4 linked regions of the Saccharomyces cerevisiae S288C genome follow. Changing the gene in region 4 together with the main gene of any one other region gives a genetic interaction. Each region holds a gene or a part of one and is shown on either strand. Other genes may lie near its edges.

What was found.
Region 1: mutations in FBP26 (region 4) and NDI1 together harm fitness more than expected from each alone (negative genetic interaction), as found in Saccharomyces cerevisiae (one large-scale study listed by BioGRID).
Region 2: mutations in FBP26 (region 4) and YJR098C together harm fitness more than expected from each alone (negative genetic interaction), as found in Saccharomyces cerevisiae (one large-scale study listed by BioGRID).
Region 3: mutations in FBP26 (region 4) and PHM7 together harm fitness more than expected from each alone (negative genetic interaction), as found in Saccharomyces cerevisiae (one large-scale study listed by BioGRID).

What each region holds. Positions count from the first base shown.
Region 1 is NC_001145.3:27,766-31,793, forward strand, and holds NDI1 (NADH-ubiquinone reductase (H(+)-translocating) NDI1), read right to left. Parts: upstream 2,043-4,028; coding exon 501-2,042; downstream 1-500. Other genes in the region: Rag GTPase GTR1, read left to right, coding at 1-97; YML119W (uncharacterized protein), read left to right, coding at 2,846-3,919.
Region 2 is NC_001142.9:612,617-617,021, forward strand, and holds YJR098C (uncharacterized protein), read right to left. Parts: upstream 2,541-4,405; coding exon 570-2,540; downstream 1-569. Other genes in the region: JJJ3 (Jjj3p), read left to right, coding at 1-315; ubiquitin-specific protease YUH1, read left to right, coding at 2,960-3,670; AIM25 (Aim25p), read right to left, coding at 3,735-4,405.
Region 3 is NC_001147.6:160,417-165,831, forward strand, and holds PHM7 (Phm7p), read left to right. Parts: upstream 1-1,939; coding exon 1,940-4,915; downstream 4,916-5,415. Other genes in the region: alcohol dehydrogenase ADH1, read right to left, coding at 1-178; YOL085C (uncharacterized protein), read right to left, coding at 1,257-1,598; ATG34 (Atg34p), read left to right, coding at 5,298-5,415. UniProt on the Saccharomyces cerevisiae protein: Acts as an osmosensitive calcium-permeable cation channel.
Region 4 is NC_001142.9:128,785-132,520, forward strand, and holds FBP26 (fructose-2,6-bisphosphatase), read right to left. Parts: upstream 1,860-3,736; coding exon 501-1,859; downstream 1-500. Other genes in the region: SSY5 (Ssy5p), read right to left, coding at 1-168; retromer subunit VPS35, read right to left, coding at 2,317-3,736. UniProt on the Saccharomyces cerevisiae protein: Monofunctional, high-specificity fructose-2,6-bisphosphatase, which releases phosphate from the 2-position of fructose 2,6-bisphosphate. Has no detectable 6-phosphofructo-2-kinase activity.

The sequences.
Region 1 (4,028 bases), on a different chromosome or scaffold from region 4:
GTCCAATATGGTGTGTTTTATAGTGTTGAAAGATATGAATATTCCACAAGAATTAGTATTGGAAAACATCAAAAAAGCCAAAGAGTTTTTCCAATGACTGAGGTGAGTAGACGAAACATTCGGCAATTGAGTGTTTGCGGGGCATAAGAATTATAAAGCTTTCGTTACGTATATACAAATGGGATTTGGCGTATAAAATAAATAGAGAAACATAAGAGGAAGAAATAAATAATCACAGATATATATATAGGACAATGGGAGGAAAAAGCTGAAGTGATCAACCAATCTTGTCGGGGTTTTTTGCTTGTGCATTAGTCAAGCATCATTTCGAAAAAAGTGGGAATATATAAATAATAAAACATCATGTGCATTTTTTTGTGCGTGTGTGTGTGTGTTAGGTTTTGTTTAGAGGGTTTTAGAAAAAAAAGGATGCAAACTCAGGAAAAAACGGTGCCTACCACCTTTTTTCCTTTTTCCAGAAAAGGGCATGTTAATTTCATCTATAATCCTTTAAAAAAGTCTCTTTTGAAAAATGCTAATTTAATCCAGTCGAAAAAGACCTTTAATCTCGATCTTGCAGATAGAATCATGGACAAGTACAAAATTCTCCATAAGTAGAAGGTCATTAAGCCACCACCGGTGTAAAATGTTCTCTTACCGGAACGTATGGTTGCAATGGCCCTTTCGGATCCCAGGTATGCTAAGGCACCTAAATCGTTGTATTTGAAAGGTTTAAAGTTGTTCTCCTCGAACAAGAGATCAATTTTATCCTTTCTTGAAGATAGATTCTTTTGGAAATTTGGTATTTGAGCCATTTTATCAAAATTCTTGGCCAAATATTCGGCCTCTTGGTGCGCTACTTGGGCGGTTGGTGGCAACCCAGCAAATGCATTGTCACCAATGGCGAAAATGTTGTTGCTGCCTTTCACCTGCAAAAAGTCATTCACTGCCAATCCTCTCTTGGACGAGTTTTGCTCAGGAATTTTCTTGAAAAGGTCAGTGATTACCGGTCTTGCCTTGTTACCCGTGGCCCAAATCAAAGTACCGTATGGAATAGTTTCTTCGGTTATTTTACCGTCTTCGTGTTTGGTCTTTGCCAACAATTGCTTTTCTTCAACTTTGGCGACAGCCGTTCTCAGATGTACTTTGATCGAAGTGTTTTCTAAATGTGATTGCGCGTATGATGAAAGCTTTTTCTCAAACATATTCAAAACGATGGGCAGAGCTTCGACCAAGTGAATTTGGACTTCTTCGGCCAATGCAGGGAGAAACTTTCTCAGGTCCTGGTGAACATAATCCTGTAGTTCACCAGCGGCCTCTACACCAGTAGGCCCACCACCAACCACGACAATGGACAGTAGTCTTCTTCTTTCGGGATCACCCTTTGGCAATAAGTTAGCCTTCTCTAGATTGGCGGCAAAAGTTCTTCTTATTTCCAAAGAGTTGGGAATTTCCTTCAGGAAATGACCGTAATCAGTGACCCCAGGAATACCAAATGTGTTAGGTTCCGCACCTACAGCACTGATTAAATAATCGTACTTAATTTCAGCAGGTTCTGCTTGATGCAGCCCTAGATGGTTTTCAGGTTGGTATAGCTGGCTAACGGCAGATAATGATTTTATGGTAACGGTATTCCTGTCGGGATTGATAGAGGTGGCTTCTGCCTCATAGTAGGTAACGTTCCCCTTTTTCTTGAGAGCAAAATTAACGATGGGCTCAATAATTGACTTTTCGTCTACTGTCCCAACTGGTGCAGAAGGTAACAAAGGCGTAAATAAGAAATAGCTTCTAGGAGAGATGATGGAAACGTTGTACTTCTTGGTGTCAATGTGCTTTAAAAACGAAATAGCTCCCCACCCCGAACCCAGTATCAGCACGTTTGGTTTGTCGCTGTGCTGAGGGTCAATGACTTTCATGGTCTTAAAAGATGTAGGACCTGCTCCGGAGTTTTCCACCCCTGTGGATCTGGTGGAAGCGAATCTGACTAGCGTATTCGTCGAGGTGAGCAACCTCTTGTTACTATACAAATTCTTCGATAGCATAGTGGTTTTTAGTTTCTTCTCTTGGGTAAACGTGTAATTCGATGATGTGATGAAACTGACACCCTACCTGAAACTCCTCAATTGGTAGTTAAAACTCCTTCCCCACTATGCCCTATACATCTTATATATACCCTGTCGACGTTGCAAATACCGGCAATAACCAAGAGCGCTAAGGGGGAGCACTCTTATTGTGGTTACCCGGACGTTCAATGCCTTCATATGATTGGTCCGAATGAATAGGTCATGAGAAAATGCATATTTTTGAGGCATTTCAGCAATGATCGGCAATCTGCACATATTCGTATTGTTTCCCTGAGTAAGTTATTTGCGGAAAGAGACATTCTATTGCTTTGGAGTATTTTGTGGTCTTCGACAATAAAGCGAAGGAATAATAGGTTCGTTGCTAGCGACAAGCAACACATAGTTGTAGTGATGCTATAGCAAAGAAAGGTCACAGATTCATTATTGACCTTTTAAATGGTGCCCAGTGGCAATTGCCGTTTTAGCATTCTTTAAATGCGTAGTATATGAGTTTTAAAGTGCTTTGTTGTTCACGTGCTTTTCACGTGTATGATTACTTAACCGGGTAGCGCCGGTCTTTAATATGCTTTCCAGATTAGGAAAGAACATAAATAAAAACACAAAATAAGAAAGTGTCAATCATCCGCATTGAAAGAAAGAAAAGATTTTTTTATCCCTCAATTGTACATGAAAACAGAGACCTTTCAAAACGTATTTTAACATTCTTTTACTCTTTTCTTGCACCTGCAGCCTTAGGTCAGTAAGAAAAAAAGTAGGTAGCAATGAGCCCAAGTCCATCAGTGTCGCCAAGAAGGACGCTCAATAACAAATCATCTTACATCAATAACAGCGGTGGGCTGGTCCTGCCTCCTACGCAGTTTAATTTGAATCAGCAGCCAGTCCTGAGCTTCCAACAAAAAGCGACTTTCGATTCCAACCAGCAGTTTTTCTATTATCCAGAGTCACCCACAAAAAACCTGAGACCAAGGTTTAACAGTATTTCGCAGGTTAATAAAGGAGTTAATGAAGACCATTATACCGGGGGCGGTAGCAGTAATAATAACAGGCCATCTAGATATACAAATACCATGGGCGCTGCAAACACCAATGTAAATTCCCATCCGCATCATCAGTCGGTGTCGCATTTAAATTCTAAATCTCTTAAATTCAATCAAACGAAGGAAGTGAGCAGCATAAATGAAATTATTTTTCCTTCCAGAACGTGTACAAAGAAACGGTATTTTACCAAGCCAATTGATTTGTATGGTACAAGAAGTAGCACTAGTGTGGCACCTAAGTTGACGAATTCTCCCACGAAATCAAAAACAAATTTCAACATCAAGAAGTGCATCTTACCTAGGTCCGTCGTTACCACATATAAATTACCATCTCCAGTGCACGAAACGATAGACGATATATCCAAAAAAATCATAATCCTGCTAATTTCGTTGAAGTTTGAGAAAAACTATCACTTCTTGCAACCTATTCAATTGTCCACAAATAGTAAGACACGGATCTCAAAATCACTAGACGAATTATGCGGAGTGCAGCTGACATCAACGTTACGGCAACAAAAGCAGCTGCAAGGTAACAGCAAGCCCGTAAAGAATCTCCCTAATTCCAATGCGAAGCAGAGAGCCGGGGCCAGTGTTTCCACAAATGCCAACGAAAGCTTTGAATTGAGTTTTGATGGAAAGGCAATGGATAGATCTGATATATTTCGAATGGTAGATTCTTTTAGCATCGCCATTTCAGATGAAGATGAGGAAGATGAGGAGGAGGATAGCTTTCAGCAGAGAAGTGCGAACAACAGAATCCTCCCTGCGGAGATACTAAGTAATGAACCTTTGAAATGATACGGATTCTCTGTATTCTGTCTATAGTATTTATATACCAATACATTTTTCCGCACTTTGAAGTTTTGCATTTTACTTAATGTAGTTTATTATTAGTTGCCAAAACGAA
Region 2 (4,405 bases), 480 kb from region 4:
CGTCGCGAATATGATAGGTTGATCCTTGAAAACTATAAACGCCAAGGATTTCATAATTGTGGTGATGGGCTGGATGAATTTTCCTTAGACGATTTCTCATTTGATGAAGATAAGCTGGAGTTTATGATGAATTGTCCTCGCTGTCAATTTGTTGGTGGTTTTCATTTTAGTGAGAGTTTGTTAGATGAATGCATTGATAATGTAGACGCTATGGAACGGAGTCATTCTGGTTATCAATTATTAACCCAATGTAGCGCATGCAGCTTATGGCTGAAGGTTAATTTTGACATCGAGGAAGAGCAAGAAGGACAATAATGAAAATGGGAGGGGAAATTGAGCATATCAGATAAATCTGTTTATAGAATTATTATTTTACTTCGTGGGAAATCGAATGGTGTATATAAAAGAGGTTGTAAAATTGACGAAATAAATAGTATTTAGGCAACTAAAGATAAAAAAATATTATTTATTTTTATTCGCGGTGCGTTGCCAGATTTTTTTTGACATGCGGAATTTTGGTAAAAAGAAAAATGCAGATATGAATAGTAAACAAAGGAATAAAAAGCCTTTCATGAAGAAGTTCGTGTTCGAGATCTTCTTCCTTCTTTTTCGCTGTCGACGATAGATATGAATGCTTTTGCCATTGATTTCAAATCCGTCATTAAGCTAACATGACCTGAAGAACTGGCGATTTTACAAACAACTGGAAAGCCTCTCTGTTCAGGCAATAACCATTTATGGTGAACAACACCGTCGCCCGGACCATAGTAAAAATCTTCATAATTCCCATCTTTTATATCTTGTATACCGTTCACTTTAGCACCTCTAACAGTGGGAACCTTGTTACCGTAAACCATGGCCAATGGAGGATATTCTTTGTTCGGGTCGTAATCTAAGCTATCCAAATAATTCTTTGTACGTTTTAAAGTTCTCGCTAAATATTCACAGCTATCTTCATAAGATGTATGGAAGACTTCATCGAAAGGCACATCCCTTGGTACCTGTTTATTATTGCCGGCTACATTCCTAACAACAGGTGCATTTAGGACAAACTTGGTAGTTGCGTTTAGGGTAGCTTTAAGCGAAAGCGCTGATTTCGTTTTCCTTGGTAATAATTTTGATTTTTCGTGAGCTGATTCCTCTCTTTTCTCATTGACGAGAGGTGACAAGCCAAGGGTTTTCCAAACATCTGTATCAAAAAAATCGAAATCATACCTCTCTAAGGTAATTTTGTCAACAAAACATCTACCATCTAACGGTAGAAAATAGAAACTACTTCTCATAAAAAAGTTGGTTTCTTTAGTGAAAATAGTTTTATTCCACATCACATCATCTCCAAACCTAATAGGACCTAAAATATTTGGACATTGGCTTGGGGAACCCACGTAAATAATACCTCTTATCAAATGAGTACAGTCTTGCAACACTTTATGTGCGACCAATCCGCCCATTGAATGGGCAATGATGTATATTCCCTTCTTATTTTTTTGCTTATTGTAAATTTCCTCTAGTTTAGTCGTTAAATGCTTGGCAGATATGTCCAAGGATAATCTCCAATCATAGCCAAACTGCTGAACATTTAAATTAGGATTTGCGTCTAGCCTCTTTATCAACCTCTTAGAGATATCAACAGGCCCTATATGTGTTAGCATTCCATCAGGGACAATCTCCTTCTGAGTTTTAAGTTCATCTTCGTCATTAGGTCCGATCAATAAATCGACTTTCGTCATATTCAAACCTGCCTTTAATGGGATCCAAATTCGCTTATGAGTAGTAGCATCCCTTAGCACACTACCTCGATATCCACCCATTATAACGACATCTCCTTCCAATTCATTCCATATAGATTCTAAACGCGAACGGTAATATCCGTCATGAGTTTTGTCGAATGGGTCTGCTGTTATTTGCTTAATGGAGTTCTTCAAGGCATCCATTTCCAAAGATTCTTTAACAGCCCTTAACCTTGAATTATCAATGCCCCTTTCGTATTTAAATAATTCTATCTCTTCCAAGGAAGAAATGGAGGTTGATTTTTTCAGTTTTTGCTTGATCTCATTCTTTCTTAGATTCTTTTTGATGAACTCATCTGGAGTCTTGGGAAGCACAGTTTTAATTATGGCTAATGGTGAACTTGATCGGAAATTTGTATTACCAAATGGTAAGGAAAAGGAGAAAGTTTTATGAGAGCTGTCATAGTTCCCGTCATGCGAATAAGAAATAATTTCATCGAGATCTTCATCATCAGCGTCAAGAGAAATGGCACTCGCTTGCTTCTCTTCTAAATTATGATAGTTATTGGGCCCAGTTGTTTCCTTCTTTCTTCCCCTTTGTTCACTATCGCTGTCTTTTTCTACTTTATTGCTTATAACTCTTGCACCTCCAATCAAGGTATCCACTTTCTCCATTGTATCCAATTCACCTTCGCTTTCATTTACGGAAAAAAAGCTTACATCACTACCACTATCACTTGAATCAGAAAGACATTGCTTGTTATATTTATCATTATCGGAAATAAGATCAGTAGCCGGAGTTGCCATCATTGTAATACTCCCCAGTTAACCTCTACAAGTTGATTCTTTTACGTATCACCAAAATAGGCAGGCTATTCTTACCCAGTCCTTTCTTTTTAAGGGCGTCATAGAGTTGTAAGCATTTTTTGAGAATGCAGTGATGAGCTATTAACTTCTCAAAACTTCCTGACGTTTTATTACCCGGATTGAAGTACCTTGTATTCTTGGAGATGTCTGTGGTCGAGTTAGGAAGTGTGAACATGCCTATCAACGCCCCAAAAACCAGTGCAGATAATGATCTGGAACAATTTTTCCGTGTTTTAAACTTCCTCAGTAGAAGTATTTTTATTTAGTCGACTATAAAGGTGGAAGTCCATACTTAAGAGATATTAAGGGTATTTTGATCAACAAGTAAGTAACAATCGTTATAAAAATACAATAGCAAAAGTATGAGCGGAGAAAATCGTGCTGTGGTGCCGATTGAATCAAACCCTGAAGTTTTTACAAATTTTGCACATAAATTAGGTTTAAAAAATGAATGGGCGTATTTCGATATCTATAGCTTAACAGAGCCAGAGTTACTAGCATTCTTACCAAGGCCAGTGAAGGCCATTGTGCTGCTATTTCCGATAAACGAGGATAGAAAATCGAGTACCAGTCAACAAATTACAAGTTCTTATGATGTTATATGGTTTAAGCAATCAGTCAAAAATGCGTGCGGATTGTATGCAATTCTTCATTCTTTGAGCAATAACCAGTCATTGTTGGAGCCCGGCTCCGACTTGGACAATTTTTTAAAATCTCAAAGTGATACTTCAAGCTCGAAGAATAGGTTTGATGATGTTACTACCGACCAATTCGTCTTGAATGTAATAAAAGAGAATGTACAAACATTTTCTACTGGCCAGTCAGAAGCACCAGAAGCAACTGCAGATACTAATCTACACTATATCACATATGTGGAAGAGAACGGAGGGATATTTGAACTGGATGGAAGGAATTTGAGCGGACCCCTCTATTTGGGAAAGAGTGACCCAACTGCCACCGATTTGATTGAACAGGAATTAGTTAGAGTGAGAGTCGCCTCATATATGGAAAATGCAAATGAAGAAGATGTATTAAACTTTGCTATGCTAGGATTGGGCCCTAATTGGGAATAATAATTGTTTTATTACTGCGTAGTCAAATATGTATTTACAGAATTCTTTTAAATATATAATTCACCTACTCATCATAGCCACCGCCAAAAGAAAGGAAACCTCCAGTTTGTCTGGAATGTCTCGAAAAATAATCGAAATCGATGGACACAGCGTTTGCTAATAACACGGCCCTTTGATCCAAAGTTAGTACTTGAGAACTTAGCATCTCAGTAGGATAAATATTATCAAAGCATCTCTGCGAATCAAATCTAACAACATAAACACCAGTATCGGTAAACATTTCTCTTCCTAAACCAACCCAATTTCTGTCTACACTCGCCATTATCTTACCATCAGCATCTGTTACAGGAAAATCAAATGATAAGAAAGGTGCATCTATCTTACCAAATTGGTCAAAAGTGGATCCTTCTACTCCATCTTTCTGGAATAATTCGTAACGACGCCTCCAGAGATGCCAGTTCTGAATGGTCTCTCCTACTGTCGTTCCTTCTTTACCGTCGTGATAGTGAGTGGAGTCACTGCCATTATCAACATACGCGGAAGGAGGTATGATAGTCTTTATATGAGAATTGATGAACGAAAAGGGCCTTTTAATCGTCATTATTACATTTCCCCAATTATCAAAGACATCTACCAAAAAAGGACGATGTAGACGATAAAACTGCCGCATTATGGCCTTTGTTATAGAAAAATCTCTTTCCATCATTGATGCTATTTTGTTTCCGTTCACATCCA
Region 3 (5,415 bases), on a different chromosome or scaffold from region 4:
TAACTGGCAATGGCCAGTCACCGTGCCAAGCGTGCAAGTCAGTGTGACAGACACCAGAGTATTTAACGTTGATCAACAATTCGTTGGCCTTTGGCTTTGGAACTGGAATATCTTTGTATTCCAACTTACCGTGGGATTCGTAGAAGATAACACCTTTTTGAGTTTCTGGGATAGACATTGTATATGAGATAGTTGATTGTATGCTTGGTATAGCTTGAAATATTGTGCAGAAAAAGAAACAAGGAAGAAAGGGAACGAGAACAATGACGAGGAAACAAAAGATTAATAATTGCAGGTCTATTTATACTTGATAGCAAGACAGCAAACTTTTTTTTATTTCAAATTCAAGTAACTGGAAGGAAGGCCGTATACCGTTGCTCATTAGAGAGTAGTGTGCGTGAATGAAGGAAGGAAAAAGTTTCGTGTGCTTCGAGATACCCCTCATCAGCTCTGGAACAACGACATCTGTTGGTGCTGTCTTTGTCGTTAATTTTTTCCTTTAGTGTCTTCCATCATTTTTTTGTCATTGCGGATATGGTGAGACAACAACGGGGGAGAGAGAAAAGAAAAAAAAAGAAAAGAAGTTGCATGCGCCTATTATTACTTCAATAGATGGCAAATGGAAAAAGGGTAGTGAAACTTCGATATGATGATGGCTATCAAGTCTAGGGCTACAGTATTAGTTCGTTATGTACCACCATCAATGAGGCAGTGTAATTGGTGTAGTCTTGTTTAGCCCATTATGTCTTGTCTGGTATCTGTTCTATTGTATATCTCCCCTCCGCCACCTACATGTTAGGGAGACCAACGAAGGTATTATAGGAATCCCGATGTATGGGTTTGGTTGCCAGAAAAGAGGAAGTCCATATTGTACACCCGGAAACAACAAAAGGATATCCGAAATATTCCACGGTTTAGAAAAAAATCGGAAAAGAGCGCGGAGGGGTGTTACCCCCCTTCTCTACTAGCATTGGACTTTAATTAATATATGTGCATAGGAGAAGTGTAAAGTTCCCTTCCATATTGTAACATAATAAAGTGCACACCCAAATGAATTGAAAGCGTACTCAAACAGACAACCATTTCCAGTGTTGTATGTACCTGTCTATTTATACTGGTAGCAACCCTATTGCTGTTTCCTCTTCAAAGTACTCTAGCGGTTATGCGCGTCTCACCTTCAAGGTCATGGTCGCTCTATTGTTCGCACCACCGGCAAACTCGCGTCTCGCAAGTCTTGGCTCATTCTTCTAGTATACTCATGTTGCAAATGCACTCAGGTTCTTTCGGCAACTTAAATAATGACACCAGTTGTCGTGGTCGTCATCATCGCAACCCCAACCGGCATTCTTATTGCTTCTCCAATCTCGCCCCTTAGCGCAGGGTAAACCTTGGAAAATGCAGGCGCAAAAAACTCCGCCGGGCACAGCCTCACGCCCAGCGTTATCGCCGGGCCGGCAAGAGCGCGGGTCCGCCACAGAGTCAGCATGATTGTGCAATTGCGTAAACTCGTTTTTTCGGCGCCGCAAAGCCAAATACATCATATCAACACTTTTCACTTTATTTTTCGTTCGACCCTTATATTTGTCTTTTGCCTTCATGCTCCTTGATTTCCTATTTCATTTACCATCATTTCTTCGATCCCCCTCATCGTGATGTAGTCAACCCTCTTCTTGTTTTAATACGTTAATCTCCCTGAAATACTTTAAATACGTATGTGCGCAAGTGCTTAGAAACATGTATACATCGAGTATATATATATGTATGTATTCGCTTGATGTGGGTTCTTGGTTATCTATCCTTTATTGTATTTACTATGTCTACTACGTCTACGATATTTAGCAAATAGTACTCCTTTTTGTTATACTATTATATTAAGTTATATTTGAGCACATCATATTCAAAGCAGCGAAAGGTTAGATATTTATAGCACATACGTACTATGGCTGACAGTTCTTCGACTTCGGCGTTCATTTCAACCCTGATTATCTACGGTCTTACCGCCGTCGTGTTTGTCTGGCTCTTTTTGCTATTGCGGCCCAAGAATAGAAGAGTATACGAGCCACGGTCTCTTAAGGACATTCAGACTATTCCGGAGGAAGAGAGAACGGAACCAGTTCCTGAAGGCTACTTCGGGTGGGTTGAATATCTACTCTCGAAACCGCACTCGTTTCTCATCCAGCACACAAGCGTGGACGGCTATTTTCTGTTAAGATATATCGGTATCGTGGGTTCACTTTCGTTTGTGGGCTGTTTGCTTCTTTTACCGATATTGCTTCCCGTGAACGCTACCAACGGTAACAACCTTCAAGGCTTTGAACTGCTATCATTTTCAAATGTTACCAACAAGAACAGGTTTTACGCGCACGTTTTCCTCTCGTGGATCTTTTTTGGCCTGTTCACCTATGTCATCTACAAGGAGCTGTATTACTACGTCGTGTTTAGACATGCTATGCAGACAACACCACTCTATGACGGACTGCTGTCTTCTAGGACGGTTATCGTCACAGAATTGCACAAGAGCATCGCTCAAGAGGGGGAGATGCAAATGCGTTTCCCCAAGGCTTCCAATGTGGCCTTCGCGTATGATCTCTCAGACTTGCAAGAATTGTGTAAAGAAAGAGCTAAGAACGCTGCGAAGTACGAAGCTGCGTTGAATAAGGTTCTAAACAAGTGCGTGAAAATGACCCGAAACAAGACCCAAAAGCAACTTGACAAGTTGTACAATAACGGTACCAAGCCAAAGGACGATTTAGAGACATACGTGCCACATAAAAAGCGCCCTAAACATCGTTTGGGAAAATTGCCGCTTTGTCTAGGCGGCAAAAAAGTTAATACGTTGTCTTATTCTAGTAAAAGGATTGGGGAATTGAACGAAGAGATTCATGAAAAACAAGCCGATTGGGCCAGTAATGATAGGCAACCTGCCTGCTTTATCCAGTTCGAGACTCAATTGGAAGCGCAAAGATGCTACCAATCTGTGGAAGCAATCTTGGGTAAGAAAAATTTTGGTAAGCGTCTTATTGGCTACTCGCCAGAAGACGTTAACTGGGGCAGCATGCGTCTCAGTTCAAAGGAGAGACACTCCAGGAGAGCTGTGGCAAATACAATCATGGTGTTATTGATTATCTTTTGGGCTTTCCCCGTTGCTGTGGTTGGTATCATCTCCAACGTCAATTTCCTTACCGATAAAGTTCCCTTCTTACGTTTCATCAACAACATGCCCACCTTCCTGATGGGTGTCATTACTGGTTTGTTGCCTACTATTGCGTTGGTCGTTTTGATGTCTCTAGTGCCACCTTTTATCGTAATGTTGGGGAAACTTAGTGGTTGCGTCACTAGGCAAGAAACGGATCTATACTCCCAAGCATGGTATTACGCTTTCGCTGTGATTCAAATCTTTTTAGTTGTCACCGCTACCTCTTCTGCATCTTCCACCGTTGACTCGATTATTGACAGACCAAGATCCGCCATGACACTATTGGCAAATAACTTGCCAAAGGCATCCAACTTTTATATCATGTACTTCATATTGAAAGGTTTAACTGGCCCCACATGGACGATCTTGCAGGCAGTTAACTTGCTGCTAAGTAAAGTCCTAGGTAGAGTGTTGGATTCTACCCCAAGGCAAAAATGGAACCGCTACAATACTTTGGCCACGCCGCGCATGGGCATTGTTTACCCAGGCATTGAAATTCTGGTTTGCATTTATATCTGTTACTCGATTATCGCCCCTATACTGCTATTTTTCAGTACCGTAATGTTGACGCTACTTTATGTGGCGTATTTGTACAATTTAAACTACGTGTTTGGCTTCTCCTTCGATTTAAAGGGGCGCAATTATCCAAGAGCACTTTTCCAGATTTTTGTTGGAATTTACTTGAGTGAAGTATGTCTGCTTGGACTGTTTATCATGGCAAAAACCTGGGGTCCTTTGGTCCTGGAAGTGTTTTGGATCGTGGTCACTGCCCTAGCTCATATATATATGAAGAGGAAATTCATACCGCTATTCGACGCAGTTCCTTTAAGCGCCATCAGACATGCAAGAGGTGAGCCCGGCTATTCCTATCCTACATCGGACTTGGGTCTCCAGGAAATCAAGGACATTGCAGATGAAATGAAGGGCAAATACGAACAAGACAATACACACGGGATTTTGACGCCCGTGACCAAGGATGATTTGAAAAAGGCCAATCTGATACCAGATAACGATGGCAGCTCAGAGAACGGTACTCCTAGTAACCCCTTTGAGTCTGGTTCTGAACGTGCCTCTCTCTCTGGATCGAACGCAGAGAGTGACTCGATCAAGAAATTAAATGATACTGTTATCAAAAAATCAAGCACTCTCTCCTCCTCTACCAAGGACAACAACGAATCTACTTTTGTTCCAGAGGGTGAAAAGTTTCGCAAGTTTCACTACAGCGATGTTGAGGCATTGAGAAATAAGCGCCCTTATGATGAGGATGATCATAGTAAACATGGACCTGAAGGTGCCGTGCCAGTAAACGCTGACGCGGGAGTTATTTACAGTGATCCGGCAGCTGTCATGAAAGAGCCTCAGGCATTTCCTCCGGATGTTTTGGAAACCAATACTTGGACAAGAAGAATTCTACAATTCTTCAACCCAAGAAGGTCGTATCCTTTCGACAGTGTCAGGATGAGATTCCCACTTGTTTTCAACACCAGCATCGAATACGATGAAGAATATTTGAGCTCTGCTTATACCGATCCATGTGTCAGAGAGAAAGATCCCATTGTGTGGTGCTGTAAGGATCCGTTAGGAGTTTCAAAACAGCAAATTCAAGAGGCTAGGTCTAATGGCTTAGATGTAAGAGATGATTTCACAAGGTACGATGAAAAAGGAAAAGTCATATTCACTTACAACCCTCCTGATTATGAACCTGAGGCTAAAAAATGATGAATTAGCTTCATTCTTCACTTCTATCTTTTTCTTTGATTTTTTTTTCCCTAATGCATACATGATTTTTACGTCTTTATATAATACTGTTCTATTCATATTCTAGCCTAGTTTAATTATAATAATATCTATAATGTTTTTTTATATATCCGCATATCTGTGAGCTTGGGTATACAGAAAAAAATGGCACACGCACCCCTAAAGTAGGTGGGGAGGAAAAAGGAAGTAAGAGAAGGGAAAATCATATGAGAGCATCCAAATAGATCACTCTAAAAAATATAAACAGGCATGAAACTCAGTCAGTCAAATCAGAGTTAATATTGTAATTATCTGAAACTAGTTCCTATAGGTTGAGTGTCTATCAAAAATTTACGGAGACGCGATGAAAATTGCGGTAGAAACGACACTATTCGACTTCTTTGTCATCGATCAGTTTAAAAAATCTACTTTTTCAGCGCCAAACACCAAAGTTGACACTATTAAGGGTTGTATTAACAAGT
Region 4 (3,736 bases):
GTTTGCATTTTCAGGGTTCGTATCATGACTGTTTGGGTCTATTCTTTCTTCATTTCCAGATACGTTGCTAGACGACGTTTCTGCTGCGTTTTGTTCATTGTCTGCAGGCAAGTCTGTATTTTCCTTTTCTTCGTTCTTTTTCTTGTTTAAACCAAAAAATCTGACCATCGGTATATCGAGTTTACACCAGTACTATGTACATGCAAAAAGAAAGGAGGATATCTAGTATGTTTATTCAACCTTTATTGTATATTTACGTTTTCTGTACTGTATAATTTCATTTTCGAATCTTACTTTTTTTTTTTTACTCAAAAATACTTCCGCCGCGGCGTTCTACAATTTCACTTAAAATTAGTTTGGGTAATAATTACATACAATGCTGCAGACGTACATAAAAAACCATCAATGCTACGTTTCCTGATCTTTTCGTACATAAAAGATTGTGCGTATCAGCCACAAGTAAGCTTGGACTTAAGATACACAAAAATAAAAAGTAAAATTTAAAATTTGTCTTCCAAAGGAGAGTCATTGAGCAGTTGATGAAGTTTAGTTGAGCTTTGAGAAAGCTCACCTACTTGGCTTGTACCCTTCTCTTTATATGTACTCACTGCAGGGATGTTTGCTTTAATTTTGGTGACCTTTGTGCCATAGGCCCTAGGCTCCAGCTTGATCAATGTGTGTAGTGGGATTGACATCCAAGGGGATTCCTCCTGTGGAACGTTCATAAAATATGCATATATACACCGAAGTACGGCTTGATGAGTTATAATGAGAACATTTTCTTGGCGCTCCAATTCCATAATGACGGGCTCTAAACGAATCACTACATCTCTGTATGATTCTCCACCACGATATCTGTACTCGTATTTGTCATTATCACGTGCTTTAAAATCTTCAGGATATTCTTTTTCAATTTCCTCATACGTCATTCCGTCACAAACGCCAGCGTCTAATTCATCAAGTGCTTTCCATTGCAGTTTCTTATAGGGAAGATAATTTGCCGTTTGTTGTGTTCTTTTTAAGGTGGAAGTCCACACGGTCAAATTTATTTCTCCTGCGCTCTCTTTCACTAACTGCTCCAATTTTTTAGCGTACTGAAAGCCTCTTTCAGACAGTGATGAATCCCCGCCAATTTTTTTCTCTACGTTATAGATCGATTCGCCGTGACGGGAGAGCCAGATATATTTTGGTTTAGGACGAATATTCATAACATAAAATACAATCCTACTTTCCAAATATGTTCTGATCTTATTAATTACTACTTCTTCAATAATATTGACCAACTTAATGAACGTCATATCCTTATCTTTTTGGGGGTCCAAAGGTTCATAAAATCTTTCATATTGTCTAATTCTTTCCAAAAAATCAGCTTCCGCCACATGAGGTTCAGAGTTTTCATAATCAGGAGATGTGCTACCGATATCCTTAGCGTTATTTATAATCAGTTCATGATCGTTACTCCAGCTCTCTAAAAACATCGGTTGAATATTATTCTTTTCACATATATCTTTAAGCCATTTCCTTCTTTTACGTGTACTATTAGTAGCATCGAAAACTGCCACAGATCCGTCTTCTTTAGTAAAAAAATTAACAATATCTTTTATGGCATTTTGGGCAGCCAATTCTCTGAGTTTAAAATTATCTGTATTTTCGAAGTTAAAAAACTCAGCATCCATTGGGACATTTCCACTCACGTCTCTTCTGTAATTTCCCACATTAAAACACTTGGCTTTTATGGATAACCACGATAAGTACCTGATAATTTTTTGGGAAATAAAAGACTTTCCTCTAGCTGGTAGGCCAACCATTATCACACATACTTTGATATCATTATCGTTGGAAATAGTACTGTACCCCATGTTTCTTGTCTTACTTGATTCGGTTTTTGAGCCCCCTTTCCTTTATTTCTTAACAAACTTGCTTGGTGAATTTAAGAGCGAAGGGAAAGCAAAGATTATATATTAAATTCGTATCCACTGGCCAAAATGATACTTTACCTGATGTAAATGTATGATAAGCTATAGCTCTCTTAGTGGCGCTTTACATGTAGATGTAAGTTAGGGATAAGAATAGATTTGTGAGCGCATTGGCGCGACCCATTTTTTTAACACAGAAAAAAAGTAAAAAATAGAAATTACCCAATTAAGTGTTTTTATAGTAAACAATCCTTGATATCTTAGTTGAAAATAAACTCGAATTATGTACAAGTTTCCTTCCACTTAATCTATGATCCTTCTTTAGGTAAATTTTTATTAGCTTTATTTGTGTAGTTTTTTTTTATCTTGGGCATGTACGAAGAGCAAGTACGTTATTTAACTATACATATATGACTTTGAAACGATCGTCAACTTCTCTTTGACTTTCAATGTACTCACAAGTGCGTCGAAAATGGTGGATTGGGATATACTTCAGTTGGTGCAGTAATTTACTACCTGAAGCAGTTGCTACGACTCCGCGTATTAGCGTGGAAGATCCGTTCAGAGTATTTAATTGAATATACGTACCATCCGATCCTATGGCAACATTTGATTCCTTATCTGTGATTACAGAGCCATCGTCAGCATTACTGCTTGCCTTCACATTATTTTCTCCGGTGATGTGCAAATCACTGATTGAGTTGGTAATCATAGAGGCACTGTTATCTTCTAGTTTTAGCGATTTTAAGTTTGTTTTGATTAGTTCGATCAGACCATTGATGTATTTTATCGATATATGAGTTTCGGACTCATCCCCGTGAATAAAATAGTAGAGGCATCTATTTAATATTTCGACCATTAGCTCACAACTCTGTTCGTTATCCATTATAGAATCCGCCACACGGAGAGACCTTTGTAGACATTCTAACACCCGTTTACCATCTCTGTAGAAGTTGTCTGTGATACCTTCTTCCTCACCAATATTTGAAATTTCCGTTGCCCACCAGAGGTGGGAGCATAAATAAACAGCACGACATTGGTCTTGTTTCTTTAATAATTTGGATCCATGGAGTGTGCATCTGACAATCAAAGAATCATAATAAGCTTCTTTGTAGAGTGATCTTGTCTTTTGTAAAGACTGAGCAATATATATTAAAGCCTGTAACTGAGTCTTTGAATCACTTAGAGACTCTTCAAATATTGTGAAGGCCTGTGAGAAAAAATCATATGAAATTTCGTTTAATTGCAATTGATCAGCTAGAATGGCACATTGTAAATTCAGTTTCAGAATCAGATCTGTGCATGAGTTGTTGCAAGAATTAAAGATATCATTGATACAACGAGAAACAAATTTAAACATTTGCTTTAAAAGATTGGAATAATGGGAAAGTAACGTCTTGTTATCGGGTCTTTTTTTCAAAAGGTACTCTTGTATCATACGGCATTTCCTCATCAGTTTCCAAAAATTTGTGATTATTGCTGGAAAAGTGTATTTAACATTGATGCCACCTTTAATGAACGAAGATTTAATAAGAAGTAATATTTCCAATTGGGCTTCTAAGCTAAATTGAATTTTGTTTTTCATTGTTTGTTTCCGAGAAGTAGTGTTCATTATCCAATGAATCAAATGTGCCAACTTTTCCTGTATTGGGTCCAGTATCCAGGATTCTTCTTCATCATGTCGATTAAAAAACACTTCGTCTACATTTGTATCCGAGGATGCAACATTTGCGGGCGGTCCGCTTCTTGATATTATTAAGGGCTCACAGATTGAAAGCAGGCGCTGAACTTGGAGTTTGTCCTCAATAACTAAATAAGCG